4 separate regions of the Mus musculus genome follow, and all the other regions are reported to be linked to region 1. The links are microRNA targets in miRTarBase. Many come from high-throughput screens and were not tested one by one. Region 1 holds a microRNA gene; each other region holds the end of a gene's coding sequence.

What was found. The annotated mature microRNA mmu-miR-761 reads GCAGCAGGGUGAAACUGACACA and lies in region 1 at 3,079-3,100, opposite strand. An mRNA with a match to its seed (bases 2 to 7 or 8) in the 3' UTR can be bound and repressed. Matches are read on the target gene's strand: a 7mer-m8 pairs with bases 2 to 8, a 7mer-A1 pairs with bases 2 to 7 and ends in A, and an 8mer does both.
Region 2: the mRNA of Pon2 is a reported target of mmu-miR-761. Seed matches in the 3' UTR shown: 7mer-A1 at 1,285-1,291 and 7mer-m8 at 1,438-1,444.
Region 3: miRTarBase lists Msrb3 as a target of mmu-miR-761. Seed matches in the 3' UTR shown: 7mer-A1 at 473-479.
Region 4: the mRNA of Csnk1e is a reported target of mmu-miR-761. Seed matches in the 3' UTR shown: 7mer-A1 at 2,914-2,920.

The regions. Positions count from the first base shown.
Region 1 is chr4:109,015,769-109,020,768 of GRCm38, reverse strand. Mir761 (microRNA 761) reads right to left here and starts at 3,114; the gene lies at 3,039-3,114. It overlaps Nrd1 (nardilysin, N-arginine dibasic convertase, NRD convertase 1), which reads right to left. Exons shown (of 31, transcript NM_146150.3): 3 at 2,849-2,930; 4 at 1,658-1,811.
Region 2 is chr6:5,261,149-5,266,350 of GRCm38, reverse strand. Pon2 (paraoxonase 2) reads left to right here. Exons shown (of 9, transcript NM_183308.3): 8 at 111-239; 9 at 872-1,731. The coding sequence ends at 1,030. Among named protein-coding and RNA genes, the nearest start is that of Pon3, 7.5 kb to the right of the region's middle.
Region 3 is chr10:120,779,223-120,784,424 of GRCm38, reverse strand. Msrb3 (methionine sulfoxide reductase B3) reads left to right here. Exons shown (of 7, transcript NM_177092.4): 7 at 187-3,325. The coding sequence ends at 357. Among named protein-coding and RNA genes, the nearest start is that of 4921513I03Rik, 16 kb to the right of the region's middle.
Region 4 is chr15:79,415,580-79,420,781 of GRCm38, forward strand. It overlaps Csnk1e (casein kinase 1, epsilon), which reads right to left. Exons shown (of 11, transcript NM_013767.6): 9 at 5,005-5,144; 10 at 4,326-4,389; 11 at 2,273-3,608. The coding sequence ends at 4,357. Among named protein-coding and RNA genes, the nearest start is that of Gm16059, 8.3 kb to the right of the region's middle.

The sequences.
Region 1 (5,000 bases):
GTTTACTGTGAGTGTGTGTGTGTCTGTGTCTGTGTGTGTGTGTCTGTGTCTGTGTGTTAATAAAGAATGGTCCTGGGGTTACCCCTGAGCCAGGTCTCCAGGGTCTTTTTATGTATACCATTTCCTTTATGTTCTTTGGTTTGTTTGTTTACTTATTTCTTAATCTTATTTGACAAAGTTTACCTAAATTGTGGCTTAAAAAATTAGCTATTTTGTTCACTTTTTAGTCTACAATCTATCTGGAACATTTTTGTGTATCTTTGAGTGGCAGAGTCAACTTTATTCCTATATCCATGGAACCTCAATTGTCTTGGCAGCATTCCGATAGAAAGCCCTTTTGTGTAAGTGTCCACCTTTATGCTATTTCTGTGACATTATTATTATTTATATGATCTATTTCTGTGGCTTATTATTCTATTTGTCTCTTTGCAAACACCACGTTATAACTATCACCAAATATAATAAGGTCACAAAGGCTGACACTTTCTTCAAAATTTCACAATTTTTGTTCTCACATTTAAGCCTGTAACCCCATTAGAGTTAAATTTTCTATACAGTTGAATAAAGAACTGTGGTTCATATCTTCGCACGTGGCTCTCCTATTGTTCTGGCAGAAAGCTAACCATCTTTTCTCTCCTACTTGGCTGTCTTGGCACCAGACTACTGACAGCAAGTGTAACGGTTTGTGTCTAGAATCTGGGTTATAGTCCACTGAGCAGTGTCTGTCTGTCCTTATGTCAGAACCACACTCCTGGGATTTCTACAGCTCTAAGTCTAGGGAAATGAGAGTCCAACTTGCTCTTAAATATAACTTGGGTTATTTTTGCTTTTTACTTTTCCCATATGAATTACGGTATCACTCACAGATGTAAAGGGACAACTAAAATTGTGAAGTGATTGGGACGAATCCATAAATCAGTTTGGAAATTGTTGTCATTCTTAACAAGAAGAAGTCCTCTATGCTCTCATTCTTAACAAGTCAGGCGCATGGCACAGCTTCTTCTGCCACTCTTTACTTATTATTTATTTTTTAACTTTCTACTATTACAAGTCTTTGACTTTGAGTTTATTCTGAAGCATTTTATTTTAGATGCCATTATTAAAGAAGCAATCTTTTTAATTTCACGTTTGGATTTTAATGAGGAGGAGCTGGGGAAAATGGCTCAATCAATAGAGTGATTGTTACATAACAATGAGACCTGGGTTCAATCCCCAGCACTACGTAAGAGCCTGGCACTGAGCTATACAACTCTAATGTCAACACGAGGGAAGCAGAGACAGGAAGAGCCTGGGAGCTTGCTGGCCAGGCTAGACACCTAGTGAGCACTAGGCTCCTGAGAGTTCAAACACAGGATGTGGAGCCAGTGTGGGTGCACATGCCTCGAATCCCAGCACTCAGGAGGCAAAGGCTGGTGATCTCTGTGAGTTTAAAGACCACCTTAATGTATATAGTGACTTTCAAGACAGCCATGCATATACAGTAAGACCTTGTCTTAAAAAGAAAGAAAAAGGGGGGGTGGGGGTGGAGGCAGGGAGAGGAAGGAAGAAGACATGTAACAGTTTGCTCCTTCTTCCCCAATATTCTGACGGTTTTAGAGAAATACAACAGAACGTGCCCAGTATTTCCATGTGTATAATGGCATTAAGTAATAGTTACCTATCCAGGGCTTCCTTGAAATACTTTCTCTGGACATCAAACTGAAAGACTGTGCGTTCACAATCAGTTGAGGCATTATCACTACCTCCATGTTTCTTGAGGAAGGCATCAAATCCATTCTCATCAGGGTATTTCAAACTACCCATGAATACCACTAAATGGGAAGAATAAAATGTCACACAACAGAAAGAAATAGACAGAAACTTTTATTATCAAAGATGAACTTCTCTATGCATAGAAGATAAAGTCACATGTTAACAATGGCTGTGTCTAACACTTTTACATTGATGCTGTGCATCATTCTACAATGCTCACATTATTTCTAATCCAAGAAAACCCAAATGTTTCATGTTTAAAAACAGGTGAGTAATTTGCTTATAAAAAGGGTAAAACTTAAACATAAGCTTATGTGCAGATTAACAACTACCATAAAAAGGTGTCAAGTAAGAGGTTCACTTTCAAATAACCTAGAAGCTAAAAATATTTTTAAAAAATGACTAATGCAGAAAGCCATCACATGTGTAAGCATTTGTAGCTGTGTAATGTCCACGTGTTTTCACTGAGACATACTCATAGCTAAACTTATGGTTCCTTTTGTGGCATATTAATCACACCTTTTGATTGTATTTTCAACACTCTGATGTCACTGGGTGCTATGAACATTGAAGCAGACTAGTCCAACCAGAGCTGGCCAGTTCCTAGAGAGCAACAACTGTATCTTGCTCTGTTCGCCATACTGTAGCCAACTAATGATGTCTACAGTAAAACAGGTTTGGGGCTGGAAAGATGGCTCAGTGGTTAAAGCACTTGCTGAACAAATGTGAGAAGAGGGTTCAGATCCCTAGAACCCATGTAAAGTTCATTTCAGAAGGCAGAGACAGAGGCTCCCCAGAGCAAGCTGGATAGGCAAACCAGGCATACTGGCAAGCTCTGGGTTTGACTGAGACCCTACCTCAATGAATAAAGTACAGATTGAGGAAGATACTGCTTTTCATTCAAATCCATAATATAAGTATACTTAGATGAAAAGTCTTTCCCTATAGTTATTCCTAAATCAGCATTTTTCTTCTTAGCTTTTTCTTTGTTTAAATGTACTTCAGTTAACCAATTACTAATCTTTGAAGTCAATTAATACAAATGTAAAGGGAAAAAGGAAACCACACCCAGGAATGATATTTTACAAGATCTTACTGTGCTCCAAAAAGTGTGCCAGCCCAGGCAGGTCATCTGGATCAGCAAAGCTCCCAACTCCAACACACAGAGCCGCTGCAGACTGGGGTAAGTAGAACACATACAAACAGTGGCGTCAATCCTAAAGCAGTACCAGCACCTCAAGGATTCACTTGGAGAAGCTTGCCAACAGAAAGAACAGAACTCTCCCTGGGAGTCAGGAGGAGCAGCAAAGTGAAACTCACCAGCACTGTGTCAGTTTCACCCTGCTGCTCCTCCACTTGCCATCCTGCCAAATGCTCAACAGGTGCAGACCTGAGGGAGAAAGCAGAAACAGAAACAAGGCAGAGGCCGGCCTCCCGGGCCTCCCGGCAGGCCGCAGTTCACGCTGCTGATTCAGGACTCTGAACCACGCTGTGCCTGAGTTACTAGGCTTTGGAATTCTGCAGAACTAACACATCTGGGTAGGATGAAGGGCTCTAAGCAATTTAAAATGTTTACGCTGAGTAACTCAGTTACAAGACACTCAAGACTTCTCAGTGTGCTACTCAGAAAGTTTAATACTAATATGGGGTGGGGATGGGGGTAAGATAACCATTTAGGAAAATATTTAATAAAATAGTAAGTAAATGGTTAAAAGAGAAAACTTGCTATTAAAAAGCTACAGCAATAGGATTTAAGAGGCTCTTTAGTTCTTCCTTTTGCATTGAACACACACATATAAATCATGTATTACTTATCAATGTGCATTTGCCAAATTCCTTGGGAAAATTCATTTTTAACAAAAATAGATGGCCAAGATATACACAAAATTCTGTTTTTAATGACTAACACATACTATCATCATTAGTTAAAATTTTGGGGTTTTTTTTTTTAAGTAAACGAAATAGTAAATTTGAAAACAGGAAAGTATATATTAACTTTTCCAACTTTGTATTAATTTTCAGAACTAGTGCATTTGTGAAGCACTGTTTGATAAGGTTGTCCTTATAACATAGCATGCACCTTGGGTTTCTAAAAGAGCCAAACAGCCTCACTTGATACTTCAAGTCCCATTTTTGAAGACTTAGCACATAAGCTCATTTAAAACATGGAAGAATAGCCACTTCTTCAAGCACAGTCTAACCTGTTCTGTGACATTTAATAGATGCCTAACCTGCTTTCAGCTCCAACTACCCCATAAAGATTTCTTGTCTCGACCAGCAGGGTTGAAGACATTTTTGAATAAGATGACTTAAACCACAGTCTATCAGTCAGCTTTGACCACAGCAAAAACAGGTTCTGCGATTGCTAGAAAAGAAATTCATACTTGAGGATTTTCTACCCAAGAATTTTATACTTGAGAACTGAGTTATAAAACTCAAAATTATGAACAAATCATAATTCAAATATATCATACTTAAATTTCAATCTTGTTAACTTATTAACTTTTCAGATCAAGAAAAACTTCTTTTCAAAGAACAGAAACATAATTTAAAAAATGTTCTAGGAAAGTAATTAACTTCTCCAAAAGCTAACATTTTTTTTCCCATTTCATTTCTTAATGAGAATTATTTACCTTAAATAAGGCTCACATTTCTCAAATAAAAATTAAAGCCTAAACATTCCTCAGAGCCAATGCGATTCTGAAGCCACCTCTCACCTACACTAACTTCTTCACTTTCCCTTCCAGATGCTTACGTGCCTCACGTACACACTAAGTAGAAACCATTTCTTACTCTTAAAAGCATGGAATCTTTTCTTCCACTAGGATACCTACTGCTTCACAGCCAAAATGATTTGGTCTCTTCACACCTAATTGCTTTATCAAAAGAAGTCCATGACACAGGAAAACTTGCAGTTTTTTATACAGAGAAAGACAGATATAGAAACTTAGAGGTAAGAATCTAAGATTTAATAATACTGTCATTTTGGGAGCTAAGGTAGAGCTCACAATTGTGTGACCTTAAAGGTGGGTGTGGAAGAAAGAAAGCCAGGCAGCATAAGATCCCCCAGAAGTCAGGGGCAGACCTAGAGCTAGAACTCAGGTGCATCTTAGGATGTCTGTGATTTCTTAATCCATTAACAATTAGAAATAATCCTATTAATTCCCAATTTGCCTATAAAAAAAAAACTTTAGAATTGTCTACCAAGTGGCATATATACAAATTTATTCAGTATCTTAAGTTTCACC
Region 2 (5,202 bases), not on the chromosome of region 1:
AGGGAGATGCATGTAATGGCCCCACACGCACCAAAGCAGGAAAGGCTTGCTCTAAATTACTTAATCAGGTTGCTTGCATCATTTAGATATTGACATGATTTCTTCCTAAGGTTCTGCAGTTGGGCACGCTGGTGGACAATTTATCTATTGATCCTTCCTCGGGCGACATCTGGGTCGGCTGTCACCCTAATGGACAGAGGCTCTTCGTGTACCACCCGAACCATCCTCCTGCATCAGAGGTTCTTATATTTTGAGTTTTTCCACCTTAATTGTTCAAGTCCTTTGCACTAATAATGGAATAAACTGTCACGGGGATGATTTGTTAGTTCTTTTAAACCAATAATACAATAAACCTGGGAGGTAGTTTTATAATTGCTTTAAGCCAATAATTGGCAGAATGTTACATTGCTCAAATGCTTTCAGAAAAGTAATCTTTTGATGTATTAAATTATAGTGGGAACTAGTCAAAAGTAATTTTTACAAAGACACAGGTCCTGTTCACTTTCATGTGGTATGCTGGCAATCTTAAAACGACCTTGTTTATTGTCAGCTCAGCACATGACATGAGCTTTGTGCCCAGTGAAATAGTGTCAAAGCGGGCACAGTGGTGGGAGCCCATTTCTATTAATGTTGAATTGCTGTAATCACACAAAATCCTGTGTTGGCATGGCTGACTAGTTGCTTTAAAAAGTCCGTTTTTTTTTGAATGTTGGAGGAAGTACTTTAATTTAAGCATTAAGGAGATTGGTAACTGCTGTTTGTAGCAGCATGCCTTCTTAATCATGTGTCATTGGTGAGCGCAAGGGATTATTGGTGCTTGAGTGGTATGGGTGTGTGGGTTCTTTATTAATATGTTGTATCTCCTGGGTAGGTCCTCCGCATTCAGAACATTCTATCCGAGAAGCCATCAGTGACAACGGTGTATATCAACAACGGGTCTGTCCTCCAGGGAAGTTCTGTGGCGACCATATATGATAGGAAACTTCTCGTAGGCACTTTATACCAGAAAGCCTTGTACTGTGAACTCTAAATTGTATTTTTGGCATGCAAGTGCACTAGGTTGTAACAAAATAATCTTTTGATTAAGGGCCAATTCTGAGGGAATTTAACCATCAGTACTGACCTAGTAATATACCACATTTGTAGCTCCTTTTATTTCAATAAGGAAAGGCCTTGCAATTCTGATGCGCTTTTAGCATCAAAAGAAAATGAACTATATTATTGGCTGTGTGTGTGTGTGTGTGTGTGTGTGTGTGTGTGTGTGTGTGTGTGTGTGTCTGTTTTCTGCTGATCCAGCGAGAAAGAAGAAAGCTGCTTTTCTATGAAGTGAATGCAGTTTGCACAGAGGGGCTTCCCCCTCCGTGCCTCCACCACGTAAGAGTCCACTGAAGCAGGGAGTGTGGTAAACAGGTCTGCGGCCTCGGTCTCCAGGCTGCGCCTGCTGGGCTTGTGCAGGACTACTGATAGATAACACTTGGATGTTTTCTACATCCAGCTTTGTTTACTGATTTACAAGGTAGGAGTGTATTCAAGACTAATCAAAATCCGGGGAGTTGTTTGTGTTTAATTCCCAAGGGAAATCCTCTGGAGAGGGTGAGGCGGGAAGTGACTCCTAGGGCATTCGGTTGGACAGGAATCAATGGCCATGTTAATTTCTCATGAAAGCTCTATGTAAAGGGGCTCTTTATTGGAAAAATAAAATAAAACAACCGAATACTGTAGCTCAACTTATTTGTTTGTTTGTTTATTCTTTCATTTGAAACAGAACCTCAGTATATACCTCTGACTGGCCTGGAACTTGCTCTAACCACAGAGGCCTCCCTACCTATGTCACAGTCAGCCTTCCAGTGTTCAGCTCTTAAGGTATCTTTCATAGGTTCTGTTCCTAAATACAATTCAGTTTTTGACACAAAGAGGCGATAAAGGCTTAGAGCTGGTGTCTTACTTCTTACCTGCTCAGTGAATAGAATTATGTCCAGAAGTGGTCAGATGTCTAGACCTGTCTGATTTGCAGCCACTACAGTAAGACAGGGTCAAGATGCCAAAATCACTGGAAGAACATTGAAGAACATTTCTTTCCACCCTGCATCCAAAAGCCTCCTTGGGTCCTGAAGAGAGACATTAATGTATTTCTTTCTGCGTCACTGTGTATTTTTCTAATTAAAATTTTATTGTAAAGGACTTCCCCATCAGTCATCTCTCAACCACCGTCTTCTCGAAGCCTTTTGTTTCATTTTCCCTCATCTTCCTCCTTCCCTTTAAGATGCCTGGATGTTAGTTATCAAATGTCCAGCAATTGAGAAGTGGTACCCTCATTATTTCACTTAATCTTAATTGCAGCCTGGCGGGAGTACGTGTCAATATTGTATTGTTGTTAACATTTCACAGCCGGTCAAGGTCACACACCTCCTAAGGGTGAATATCAATCTGTTTCTAATGCCAGACCCCGTGCCATTAGCAATTCCAGGAAGCCACTGCAATAGAGACAGTTCTTCATAGCTACCCTTTCCCTATGGTACATAGTGTGTTCTGGGGGTGTGTGTGGTGTGTGTGTGTTCATAGTTACCCTTTCCCTATGGTACATAGTGTGTTCTGGGGGTGTGTGTGGTGTGTGTGTGTTGAAGATACTAATTTGAGTTTTACATTTTGCTGTATAATTTAATGGATTTCAGATGGAAACTTCGGAAGTATTCTTAAGCCCGGGCTCCGGTTCATTTATATATTTACATATTTCTGTTACTTATTATTTTTGATTTTTCAGTTTATTCAGTTAAGAATGAATAGGGACTATATTTCAGGCCAGGGAATTAATGCTTCTTGCTGCTTCCATATCTAAGGAGAACATGTTAGGTCACAGATGAATAAGGCAGGATTAAATAGTGTTTACCTAAAGATACAATCCAAGAAGGGGATGGTTTCGTTTTAGAGGAAGATAACAATGGCTATCTAAAAAGACACATGCACAGGAAATGGCAGAGTACAATAGGTATCAAGTGAAGTTGCTTTCTGTTATTACATTCGTTCAGAATTTCCTTTGTGGAAAAGGGGGTATGAATTAATAAACACTTATTATTTTTGCTTATCTTATTATATGAATTAATAAACACTTATTGTATGAATTAATAAACATTATTATTGCTTATCTTAGGCAAGCAGGAGAGGTTTTTTAGTAAATCCTGACTTGGGGGTACTAATGGGTATGAGAGATTGTTTTTATCAACTGTAAATATAATGTGTGTTTATTTATGACGACCTTTTTACGATCAAATGCGGACAGAAAGGATTGGGTGATTAAGTCATCATTGCCCAAAACAACAGAAACCACAGATGGGACTTGGCACTCCTAAGGGATGGACTTGAGCGCTCTCTCTCTCTCTCTCTCTCTCTCTCTCTCTCTCTCTCTGCGTGTGTGTGTGTGTGTGTGTGTGTGTGTGTGTGTGTGTGTGTGTGTGTGTTTATATATACATGTGCCCACAGACAGCAGAGGTTAGGGAAAGACATTCAAGTGTCTTCCTCGATTGCTCTTCACTGTATTGCCTTAAGAGCTTTCTGAGTACTGGGGTCACAGGTTCCTGCAGTCACTCCCAGCTTTTAAGTGGGGTTGGAGATTTCAACTCAGAACCTCTTGCAAACACTCTGGCCCACCCAGCCATTTCTCCAGCCCTTAGTTTTCTTCCTCTTTCCTTTCATCAAACCTCGGCTGCTTTATGGTTCGTGAGTACTTCAGAGGGAACAGGAAAATCAAGTCATCTATGTGGTATTACTTTCACATTTCTTGTTTGTTTGTCTTGGCATGGGTTAAGCATTTCTGATAACTACTCTAAAGATGACCCTTCCGCTAGATTTTCATTTGCTCAATCAGTCCTGTCTTGAAACAAGCACCTGCTGAACACTGCACAAAAAAAGCAGTGGGGAAGTTATGGCCCCTCCCCCACCTCACCTGCTTTCCTATAGCTTCTTACACTTTTCATTACTGATACGATTTTAGGTAAGAATCTATCTGTACATGGGAGAAGAGGATGCATGTGTGTCTGTTCACATTCATACCCTCTTGCTTTTTGCTCTTAATTTTCAAAAGATTTCTTCCAATGTGTTTAAGTTTCACTCTCTTATTACAAGTGATTTTAAACACTCTTAGTTGGGGTGTGGGGTGGGGTGCACTCTTTACTTTCAGCACTCTGGAGTCAGAGGCAGGGGGCTTTCTGTGAGTTCCAGGCTAGTCAGGGATATACAATGAGACATTATCTGAATTAATCAATTATAAAATATCCTCTTAGATATATAAGGGGAGTTGATTGATGATTCATTGAATTTTCTGGTCTTTAGTTTTTCTTAAAGATGTAAGCCCCTTTGTCCATTGGTTGGGTGCAAATATCTGCCTCTGACTCTTACAGCTGCTTGTTGGGTCTGTCGGGGGCAGTCATGCTAGGTCCCTCTTTGTGAGCGCTCCTTAGCCTCAGTAATAGTGTCAGGCCTTAGAACTTACCCTTGAGCGGGACCCCACTTTGCACCTGTCTCTGAACCATTTTTTCCTCAGGCTCCTCTCCATTTCCATCCCTGCAGTTCTTTCAGACAGGAACAATTATGGGTCAAAGATGTGACTATGGGATGACAACTCCATCCCTCACTTGATGTCCTGCCTTCCTCCTGGACCCCTGATGTTGAATTAGGGAAGGTTGAAAGAAGTTGAGGAGAAGGGAGATCCTGTAGGAGGACCAGCAGTCTCAATTAATCTGGACCCCCAAGATCTCTCAAACACTGTACTACAAAGTAGACAGCATACACCAGCTGATATGAGGCCCCCAACACACATACAGTAGAGGACTTCCGGGTCTGTGTTCATTCAGAGATGATGCACCTAACCCTCAAGAGCCTGGAGGCCCCAGGGAGTTTAGAGGTCTGGTGGAGTGGGGGGGTGGGGGTATCCACGTGGAGATGGGGTGGGGTGGGGTGGGGTGGAGGTGTGGTATGTGGAGTAGTTGGAGAGTGGATGGGGCAGGGAGCAGGGAATGAATATGGAGTATAAATAATAAATTAAAAATAAAATAAAATTTAAAAAAACATTATGGGCCCTTTTCTTATGAATAGGAATTATTTTCTTTTAGGGTATTATTATATTCTAGTAGGATACTGTATACATGGAGATAAAATAACAACAACAGCAACAACAAAACAAACAAACAAACAAAAGACAAACCCCAT
Region 3 (5,202 bases), not on the chromosome of region 1:
CATGTGGTACAAAGTCTGTCTGGAGCCATCTCTTCAGCTATTGACAGGCAGATTAGAAATGGTTCAGGATGCTTTTCATTATTCTATTCCTCCCCAAGCCAGCCAGCCACTCCAACGACTTCCCACACACTCCCCTCAAAGCCCACTTGGTGCATGTGTGCCTTAAGCATCCTTTTTCTCTTACAGTGTGGTGCTCATCTCGGGCACATTTTTGACGATGGACCTCGTCCGACCGGCAAAAGATACTGCATCAACTCAGCATCCTTGTCCTTCACTCCTGCAGACAGCAGTGAGGCAGAAGGAAGCGGCATCAAAGAGAGCGGCAGCCCAGCAGCAGCAGACAGAGCTGAGCTGTAAAATCAGGGGTAGCGGTGAAAACAAAGTGTTCTTAATGCACAACTGATTGAAAAAAACCAAAAAGTGGTTTATCTTAACAGAGCTATTTTTTCAGAAGCTATAAGGGCAGTTTATGCTGCTGAAAATGTTTCTCTCTCTCTCTCTCTCTCTCTCTCTCTCTTTCTCTCTCTCTCGTCTAGATGGCAGTTCTGCCCATCCATGTATTTTGCTGTTGACTAGGTCCAGAACTGTGTGTAGCTCTTGCAAACGGAGATGGCTTTGTGGAGCTTCTTGGTAAGCTTCTATGTAGCCTTGGCATCATTTTCTTCCAATGCATACCTTCCTTCAAGTTTTGTCCTTGTAGGTACCCTCCTTTTGATTAAGAGGTGGAGGTTGTGTAGTGACATCATAGAGCTGGTGCTCAGCAGCAGAGAGGAGAACTGGCAAGGACAGAGCATCTAGACATGTGGCCTTTGCGATAAAGATGGAGTGTTGTGTTAGATTGCTAGGCTGCGATAACGATGGAGCGCTGCGTTAGATTGCTAGGCTGCACGGAAAGTCTGAGCTAAGGTTGTTTTTTCTCACTCGAAGGGTGTGAAGGTCTGAAGTCGTTCCTTATGTTACATTGTTGCCAGATGTGAGAGGACTCAGGGAAGGTTGCCGCAGAGATGCAAAACATTACCTCTGGGCAGGTCTTTATTTTATATTTTCCACTGAAAACAGCAGAATGTAAGACAAGTGTAAAATACTAGGCTCCATTTTTTTTTTTTTTTTGTCCAAAGTTCACAAAGAAGAATGCTTGCCCATTGCCTCTGCATAAGCCTTTCTCTGCATGCCTCATGTGAACTCCATCTGGACGAGCATTTTAGAAGATTTCCCCCGTGCAAAATAAAATATTAGGGACAACACACTTCATCAGTAGGAAAGAGAGAGATCAGAGAAGACCTAGTATGAAGTCTTGAGCACTAAATAATCCCATGCTGTGCAAAAAGGCCAACAGGATCTCACAGGTACTGCACCTAAACCAGACTTTCACATAGCATCAGAAGGTCGGAGCAAGGATGTCGGGGATTAAGACAGAATAGTCAGGCCCAAGGTCCACACTTCACTGTGTGTACAAGGGACAAGCCATTTAGCCCCATTGTGCCTATATCTTCGTGTACACAATAGGACTCATATCTTTATAAAATATATTGATACTCTCAGGGCAACATTACTATATTGCTGTACAATTAATAAGATCAGTATTTTAAAATCACACTGATCCGGTTGTAATTGCACAGAGCAGGCCAAATTTGCAATGGAAGAAGCAGAGGTGCACTTGGCTGGTTGGTATGGAAACAGCCGAAAGCCAGACCTTTATCTTGTAGCAATATGGCAGGTGTCTCAGTAGTGAGCGTTGTGGTTTTTGAATGCTAATCCTGAAATGTGGCTTTAAAAGACGCTTAGACTTCTAAATTTTTTGAGGAAGACTGGCATCTGCCCCTCGTACTCAGTAATGATGATGAGAACAGGCGAGTGACAGTTGCAGACACAGTGGGAAGCAATAAAAGCCGGGGCAAGCAAGCTGAGACTACCCATATCCAGCAGCTCTGCCTTTCTCAGGTACCTCCTGAAGGTCCTGCCATCCTGCCGAGTCTTCAGTATCACCCAGTTCTAGAGACGTCTGTGCTTTTAACTTGGAACACACAGGAAAATTACCTAAGCACTGGGGTCCCCCCAGCTCCAGATGTTTACCCCAAGCTCAGGGCTACTCTGCACACCCCGGGCTTCATTCTTCTCTAGAAACATGGGGAGAGTCCCGGGTGAGGCTTCCAGACTTCCATAAAGTTTTCACATCATCTCGAAGGATTCCATGTAGGGTGGCTAAGGACAGACGTGGGTCTCACGGGATATTGTCACAGCTTGGCATCCATCCTTCGGAGACACACACAGCCCTTTCTGCCCACTCCCATCTGTGTGGTGGCCTTCCCAGGGTCCCTTGGATATAAGCCAGAGTGTTGGAGTAGACAAAGAAGATAAATAAGGAGGTTCTCACTCCACAGAGATGCTAGGTTGTTTTACTCTTCCTTCATTTTTCTCATACTATAGTACTAACCACACACACACACACACACACACACACACCAATAACGAAAATTTTGTTTCCCTTTAACTTTTACTGTTTTGTTTTGTAACAAAAGCCATCTTTTTCCAGCACCAACTTATATATATAATCCTATATATATATATATATATATATATATATATATAATCCTATATATATATATGTGTGTATATATATATATATATCATCCATTGAAATAAAAAAAGGAAAAAGAAAGAAAATGAGTACATACAATTTAATTCCAGATTTCTTTTTGGGGGGCTTAAGTGGCATCAAATTTTGGTATATTTCTGTCTTATGTTAAAGAAATATATTGCTAAAATGTCAGGGAGCGCTAATGTCAGCTGTCAAGGACTAGATTTACTTTCGCAGGATATGGAGCTCAGTGAGCTGAGGTGGTGAGGTGTATGTGATCTGTGGGAATTCTGCCATTTAACACAGGAGGTTGCACGGTCTTCCTTGTCAACACCCCAGCTCTGACTGCACCGTTGGGCCATGCAGAGATGGGCTAGTAGGCAGGAACCACGTCCCTATGAGTGCACAGAACAGATCGGAAGGAAGCAGCAACATCCAATGTATTTCTGAGTATTTAAACTCTTCACTTCTTTTATATATGTAAAATCTTAATGCAAATGACGTAGCTGTTGGAACAAAGACTCTCCATGTTGTTTAAAATGTCTTGCTTTCAATACAGAAAAAAATACCAATGAGAATTAGTACCATGTGCTGGGGGTGTGTATGATGCTTGATCTAGAAAGCTTTTTAATAACTTTTCTTCTGATAGTTTAAAACTTTTGAAAAGTGACAAGAAACCTTCATTGAGAAGCCTTTTTCGATATTTGTTGTATACAGAAATTCGGTAATAAAGTTTCTTTATAAAAATGTCTCTCTTCTCTGCTTCCTAAAGACCAACCGTGCTCTCTAGCGTGGCTTCCCACCACAAACAGACAGTGTAGAGCGACTTCCCCTACAGAGCTGGCCTGTCCTTAGTGCCCAAGGAGGCTCTCCTTTGCTCTAGCCTTTGGAACTTGGACATCCCGTGTAATGAAAGGGCCTCTGAGACTCCTCCAGACCAAAGGACAGGAGGACAGGGACACTTCTTCAGTCGCCACCTCACCACAGCAGAATCTTCAACAGTTCCTGTGTGTGTGTTGTGCTAAAACTATGCTTCAGAGATTCTCACTGTAACTGCAGGTGTGAGACTGCAGGCCTGTGACGTGGTTGGTGCCTAGGCTCTGCTAAAAAGTCTGGTGTGAAACTTACACAAACGTCAAGGGTTGGTCTCTAGAGAAAGAGACATAGAGATTGCCACTGCTCATTACTTTTTAAAATAACAAGTCACATTTTTTATTGGTTATCTTATTTATTTACTTTTCAGGTATTATCTCCCTTCCTGGTTCCTCTCCCCCCCTTTTTTTTAAACCTTAAAACTCATCTCTATAAATGGGGCACAGTGGCTCATTCTGTAATCCCAGAATTTGAGACACTGAGCCAGGAGAGTCACTGTGAGTTTAAGGCCACCCTGGACTACCTAGTGAGGTCCCATGTAGCCTAGGCTACAGTTGAGACCCTGTCTTTGAAATCCAAAACAAAATAAAACTTCATCTACAGTTGGATCTTGGTATGATACTATCTGTGGTTGAATTGTTTGGGTTTTACTGACCTATTTATTTGAGGGAGAAGCAGGACTGCTGGAGACTCGTTTTTTCAGTTGGTTCTCTAAGTCACATTCCTGGGATCCCAAGTACTGACCAGCAGTTTCATGCAGGGCCTTTTATGAAACGCACACACATATATACACACATATAAAGTCTTACTTACTATTCTATCGCTGTGAAGAAACACTAAGACCAATGCATCTTATAAAAGAAATAATTTAATTGGGGGCTTGCTTACATTTTCTGAAGTTTAGTCCATGATCAGCATGGCAGAAAGCATGATGGCAGGCAGGCATTCAACTAGAGCCATAGTTACTATCTACCTCCTGACTGCAAGCAGCCAGTCATGGGTGGAGGTGCAAGTGTGGGCCTTTTTTGAAACCTCAAAGCCCACCTGCAGAACACACCTCCTCAAACAAGGACATACCTCCTAATTCCTTCCTTCCTGAACAGTCCACCAACTGAGAAACAAGCATTCAAATATATGAGTCTTTGGGAGCCATTCTCATTCAAACTTCCACATATAACATGTACATCTATCTCATCATCTATAGAAACTTTTAACATTTCCCATGTTTCAGTAGTAAAGTGACTTTTGGACAATACTAGTATCCAACAAAGTTTGAATTTACAAGTTGTTCACGGGGCAGTCTCAAAGGCATCCTTATTCATTGGTTCTTGAATTCATCAAAGTGGATTGATAGTCCACCATTTTAACAAGGGGCTTGAAGATGTACCACGTGCTACCAAAGAATTTTCTGACAAGAACTCTGTCCTTTCTCATCCAGATGCTGGTCTTGTCCTAGGCTGACCTTGAGAAACAACAGCTTGACAATGACTACCATCTACTACTTGGTGTAGATCAAGCAGCTGTGAGGCCTCCCAACCTGAAATACCAGAAAGGTTATCATGTGACCATGGAAAAGTCTGGAACGATTGTGAGTCAAAGTCACAGACACCTGGCAGTTGGAAATGGTCTCTCCCCCCCACCCCCACCCCCGCCCCCAAGTGGACAGAGTTCTGCCTGCCTCTGCCTCTCATGTTCTGGGAGCTGTCTGAATTAGGGTTTTGATTTCTCTGCCAAAAAAGCAACTTAGGAAT
Region 4 (5,202 bases), not on the chromosome of region 1:
TCTCTCTGTAGCCCTGGCTGTCCTGGAACTCACTCTGTAGACCAGGCTGGCCTCAAACTCAGAAATCTGCCTGCCTCTGCCTCCCCGGTGCTGGGATTAAAGGCGTGTGCCACCACAGTCCGACTTGGTAACAGTAATATTAAAAGTTTGGTGTTTTGAGATCTTTAAATTTCTAATGTTTGTGACGTTTGTGTCAGAGAGAGAGCGAGAGCATGACATGGCACAGACAACTTTTAAGAGTTCAAGACTGGGTTCTCTCCTTCTACATCCGCTTGGGTATGCTTGGGAATTGAACTCAGGTGACAGTCTGGTGACAGGTACCTTTACTCTCTGAACTTCCTCCCCCCACTACCCTGTCCTGTTTTAAATCTTTTTCTTTTTGGTTTTTTTTTTTTTTTTTTTTTTTTTTTTGGGTTTTTCGAGACAGGGTTTCTCTGTGTAGCCCTGGCTGTCCTGGCACTCACTTTGTAGACCAGGCTGGCCTCGAACTCAGAAATCTGCCTGCCTCTGCCTCCCGAGTGCTGGGATTAAAGGCGTGCGCCACCACGCCTGGCTTAAATCTTTTTCTTAAAAAGATTTATTATTACATGTAAGTATATTGAAGCTTTAGACACATCAGAAGAGGGCATCAGGGTCAAGACAGGGCTTCTCTGTATAGCCCTGGTTGTCCTGGAACTCACTTTGTAGACCAGGCTAGGCTGGCCTTGAACTCAGAAATCCCCCTGCCTCTGCCTCCCAAGTGCTGGGATTAAAGGCATGCGCCACCACGCCCGGCTTTCCATTTTGAATCTTAACTGTGCTCAGGAAATAGCAAAACTACACATTACTGTCATTAAGAACTATGATTTTTGAGCCAGGCATGGTGGCATATGCCTGTGATCACTTGAGAAATAGGGAGGAGGTGAGGAGTTCGAGGCCACTCTCAGCTTGCTATTGAATTAGGGACCAGCCTGGGCTACGTGAGACCTTGTCTCAAAGCACCACCTCTCCTTAAAACAAAATGCATTCCACAGTTCCCGCTGTAAGACAAAGTACAAGGGAAACAGGTCAACTGTGTTATCTTTTCAGAGCTTCGTTGTAGCTTCTTACTTCCTGGGCAGGGACGGGTGGGGCCGCATCTTTCCAGCACTTCAGCCAGCAAAGGCAATGAATAAAACGCATTTTGAAGGGCAAACCCTGTCTACCAGCTCTCCCCTGCCACTCAATCTAACCATAATTACCTGGCTTCGGGTGACACGCTCTAAAGTCTGTGTTACAACCCCGATCCCTGACACTTGTGTGACAGGGGCTGGCAGGACAGCAACTTCCAGGCCAGGTTGTGGAGGTCATAGAATCTTTAAATATTGACACTGGGAAGGCCTTTGAGCTAAGCCCAGGACTCTGAAAGACCTGAGGGAAGCTCCAGGAGTTGCTACCTGTGATGGTTTATATATGCTTATCCCAGGGAGTGGCACTATTAGAAGGTGTGTCCCTGTTGGAGTAGGTGTCAGGGTGTGGGCTTTAAGACCCTCATTCTACCTGCCTGGAAGTCAGAGTTCTGCTAGCAGCCTTCAGATGACGATACAGAACTCTCAGCTCCTGCCTGCCTGGATGCTGCCATGTTCCTGCTTTGATGATAATGGACTGAACCTCTGAATCTGTCAGCCAGCCCCAATCAAATGTTATCATTTATAAGACTTGCGGTGGTCATGGTGTCTGTTCACAGCAGTAAAATCCTAATTAAAACACCATCTGTCACAAGTTTTGCTCTCCCCGGGATGAAAGCTATCGCAGTGGCCGGTGTTGAGACTTGGAAGCATGGTTTACAAGCAGTGAGACAAAGTGGGTGAGAGTGGAGACTACCACATCAGGATCTGGCCAAGGGACCAGGGTCCTGCTCACCAGGGTGAGCAGAGATCACCTCACAGAACTGCATGGTCAACCAGAGGAGAGGTGTCTGATGGCTTGACCCAGGCTGTAACCCAAGGCCAGTTTCTGGCAGGGAAGCAAGTGTCCCAAACCCTCAGAACTCTTCTATAAATAACATGATGTCTTGGGGGAAGCCTCATCTTTCACTGTGTAGACCTAGGCCCCGCACCACCTAAAGAGCGCTCTCCTCACCCGGAGGCCAGAGGCTACACTGTGTACCTTGAGCTCTGAAGGCTTGATATACCACAGGACAGGTCCTAATGGCCCCAGCCACAGCTGCCTGAGGCTGATGGCTTCTTTGTGATGTACAGTCCCTGGTAAGTCAGCGATGAGAAACCCCAAGAGCAAAGAGGCAGACAGAGGGTATCTATATCACTTTGTCCTTTTCTACTTTATTACTTCAAATTAACAACCACAATAAAGCTCAAAAAAGTCCAATATTTACACAGGAAAAAAGTACAAAATTCCCCCCAAAGTTCTTCAGTAATTTTTTTTTCAGTTTTTTAAATTACAAAGTAATAAAAAGTTTTGCTCTTTAATTAAAAAAAAGAAAGAAAGGGGAAAAAAAGAGGTAAATAAATTAGGAAATACACACACTGAGAAAACAAACAAAAATAATAATAATAATAATAATAAAAAAACCAACAAAACAGGTGTTAACCAGGAAGGGTAAATTCAACACTTAGCCCTGACCCAGGGTCCTACTCAGAAGTCAGGCCTGGGAAGAGGGGTGACCACAGGTGACTCTCAGGACCAGGGAAGTAACCGGTATCTCAGAGCCGATGCCATCTGGGAGCAGACTCCAAGAACTTGCCTAAGATCAGGAATGGAAGTTGGGGGGGGAGGGGTGCCACACACTGGCATCTGGGGACAGGTGGTGGCAAGGACTCTATGCCCTGAGGGATGTGGAAGTCATTGTCCACCCCACCTTGACTTTAGGAGGAGGGGAACAGAAACTTGGCCAGGCAGGCGTGGCAGGCCACCTGCAGCTCTGAAAAATACAAGTCAGCAGTCTCTCAGTCAGTCTCTCAGTCAGTCTCTCAGTCTCTCTCTCTCTCTCAGTCTCTCTCTCTCTCTCTCTCTCTCTCTCTCTCTCTCTCTCATGCATACACACACACACTCACAGTCACACAAGGCATCATGGCCTCCATCTCACCGCACCCTCAGGGTCTCTGTAGAGAGGTGACAGGTGTGTGTGGGGGAGACCAGGATGCTCAGGGAAGGGGATTCTGGGAAAGCCCCATACAACACTGGTCACTGTCATCACCCAAGGGCTGATGGCGTGTGTGTCATCCAAGGCTCCATGAAATCTCTTGGGACTTGTCTCTGACTGGCCAAACCGCTCCCTGACACAAGCTCTTCAGGCACCTCCGATGGCGGCCCGGCACGTGGTGGCCGGTGGCGAGAACAGGTGGCTGGCATGTGACCCAGTGTCCTTAGAGGAGTGTTGGCAGCCTTCAGGTCGGGAGCAGTGGGCAAGGCAAGGGAACAAGAATCCTCAGTGCTAACGAGGTCTTGTCTTTTTGCCATTGGCAAAATAAATCAAAGAAACAAAATCCATTGTCGACTTTGTGCTGGGTTGTGGGTTTTGTGGTTTGTTTGTTTTTCTCTTTTTTGTTCATGTGAACTGTTCTTTCTTTCTGTCCTTTCTCTTATTTGTATTTAATTTTTTTTTTTTTAAAGAAAATGCAGTGAAGACACTAGGAGGGAAGAAAAGACAACGGTCAGGTGCCTGGCTGCCTCGGTTTACCCAGCCAATGCGCTCCTCTGCTCTGGTGGGCTGAGCGGCCATCCCAGCCCCATGTCTATCTGAACTGATTAGCCATTTGTTGGGAGAATTTCTGCAGTGTGAAGTCTGCTTAAGAAACCACGGTGTGAAGCTGCACGTCTCAATGGGTGGGACACTGCCTGCTAATATCCATGTTCTGCAGGGAGCTTGGGTCCCCAGCCAATACTACCAGAAGAGCCTGTGGCCCCTTTCCCAAACCAGGCTTCTAGGTACTGCCCCCCAAGCCACAGACAGCCGCAGGCAGTCCACCCCGAACTAGCTTTGGCCAGAGGGTCTTTCCTGTGTATAAACACATGAAGGCCCTTCTACACTCTGGTTCCTTTTTGGCTCTGCACATATCATCTTATATAACAGCCAAAAGGAGGAGGTAGGCTAAAGCCCTGGAAACCCACATGTGGCCAGGAGCCTGGTCTTTCCTAGGAATCAAGGGGACAGAAGACCCAAGGACAGAAAAAGGGTTTCCCCGAAGTGTCCCTGTGTACCGATTCAGGACTGCTTGTGAGAAGTGATAGCTTGGATGGCAGATTTTAAAATCTAAAGCTTCCTTGAAGAGATTAGAAGGGGAGGTTCCTGCTTCTGCGTCACGTTCCCCTGCCCTCCAGGGCCCTCAGTAGACACCAGTACTCACCTAAGCAAACACTGGTCTGTGGTCGCTCTCCTCATTTCCCAAGATGGTCAAATGGCACGCTTGTCTTCAAGAGGGGGACAGAGAAATATGGGGGAGTCTCAAGGCAGGTCCTTAAGCAGGTGGCCACAATGATTCCCCAAGTCTCATACACCCCCCCCCCCAATGGAGCTCCATCCCTCACAGCAGGCTGCTCAGTCTGAGGGCAGCTGTGTGATCTCAGGTCTGAGGCTGCCCCTGGCTCTAGAGCCGAAACACCCCCGCTTGGAGGCCAAGGCTGGCTCAATTCCAGGTCTGAGTCCAAGGAAGTTCGTCTCCCACAGGCAGGATCGGGTAGATCTACCTTTGCCAAGCCCCTTCCTCTACATTCTGAGTCCGAATATGGCCATTAAGTGGGATGACCTGACAAGACCTCTCCCTCCTCCCGCTTCATCCCTTGCTGTTGTCAGTGCTGATGGGAACTGCCGAGAGTCGCCCACCCAGACCGCAGTGAGTGCTAGCGCTTACTGGGCTGTTATTTCTTTGAGCCTCAGTTTCTCCCTTCGCTTTGCTCAACACAAGAGGGCTAATTAGCTTCAGGGTGATCAGAGGCAGGGGAGGAAAGGTGCCACAGGGTCAGACCAACACACCAAGAATATCTAGGTCCACTGTGCCCCCGAGAGGCCTGGAAGAGTTGACTCACCTGTGAGGCTGCAAGCCGGGAGACCTCTTGCCGCCCAGTGAGGTCTGAGGAGGAGACATTGGCAGGGGCACCTCTGTGGAGTCTCATGCTCACCTTCCTCTCTCGGTCGGCCCGTGAGATCGCTCTGGGAGAAGTATTGCCTGGAAGGAGGGGAGGGGAGCCACCTTCAGTACGGGCATTAAGCAACCCCCTGACCCC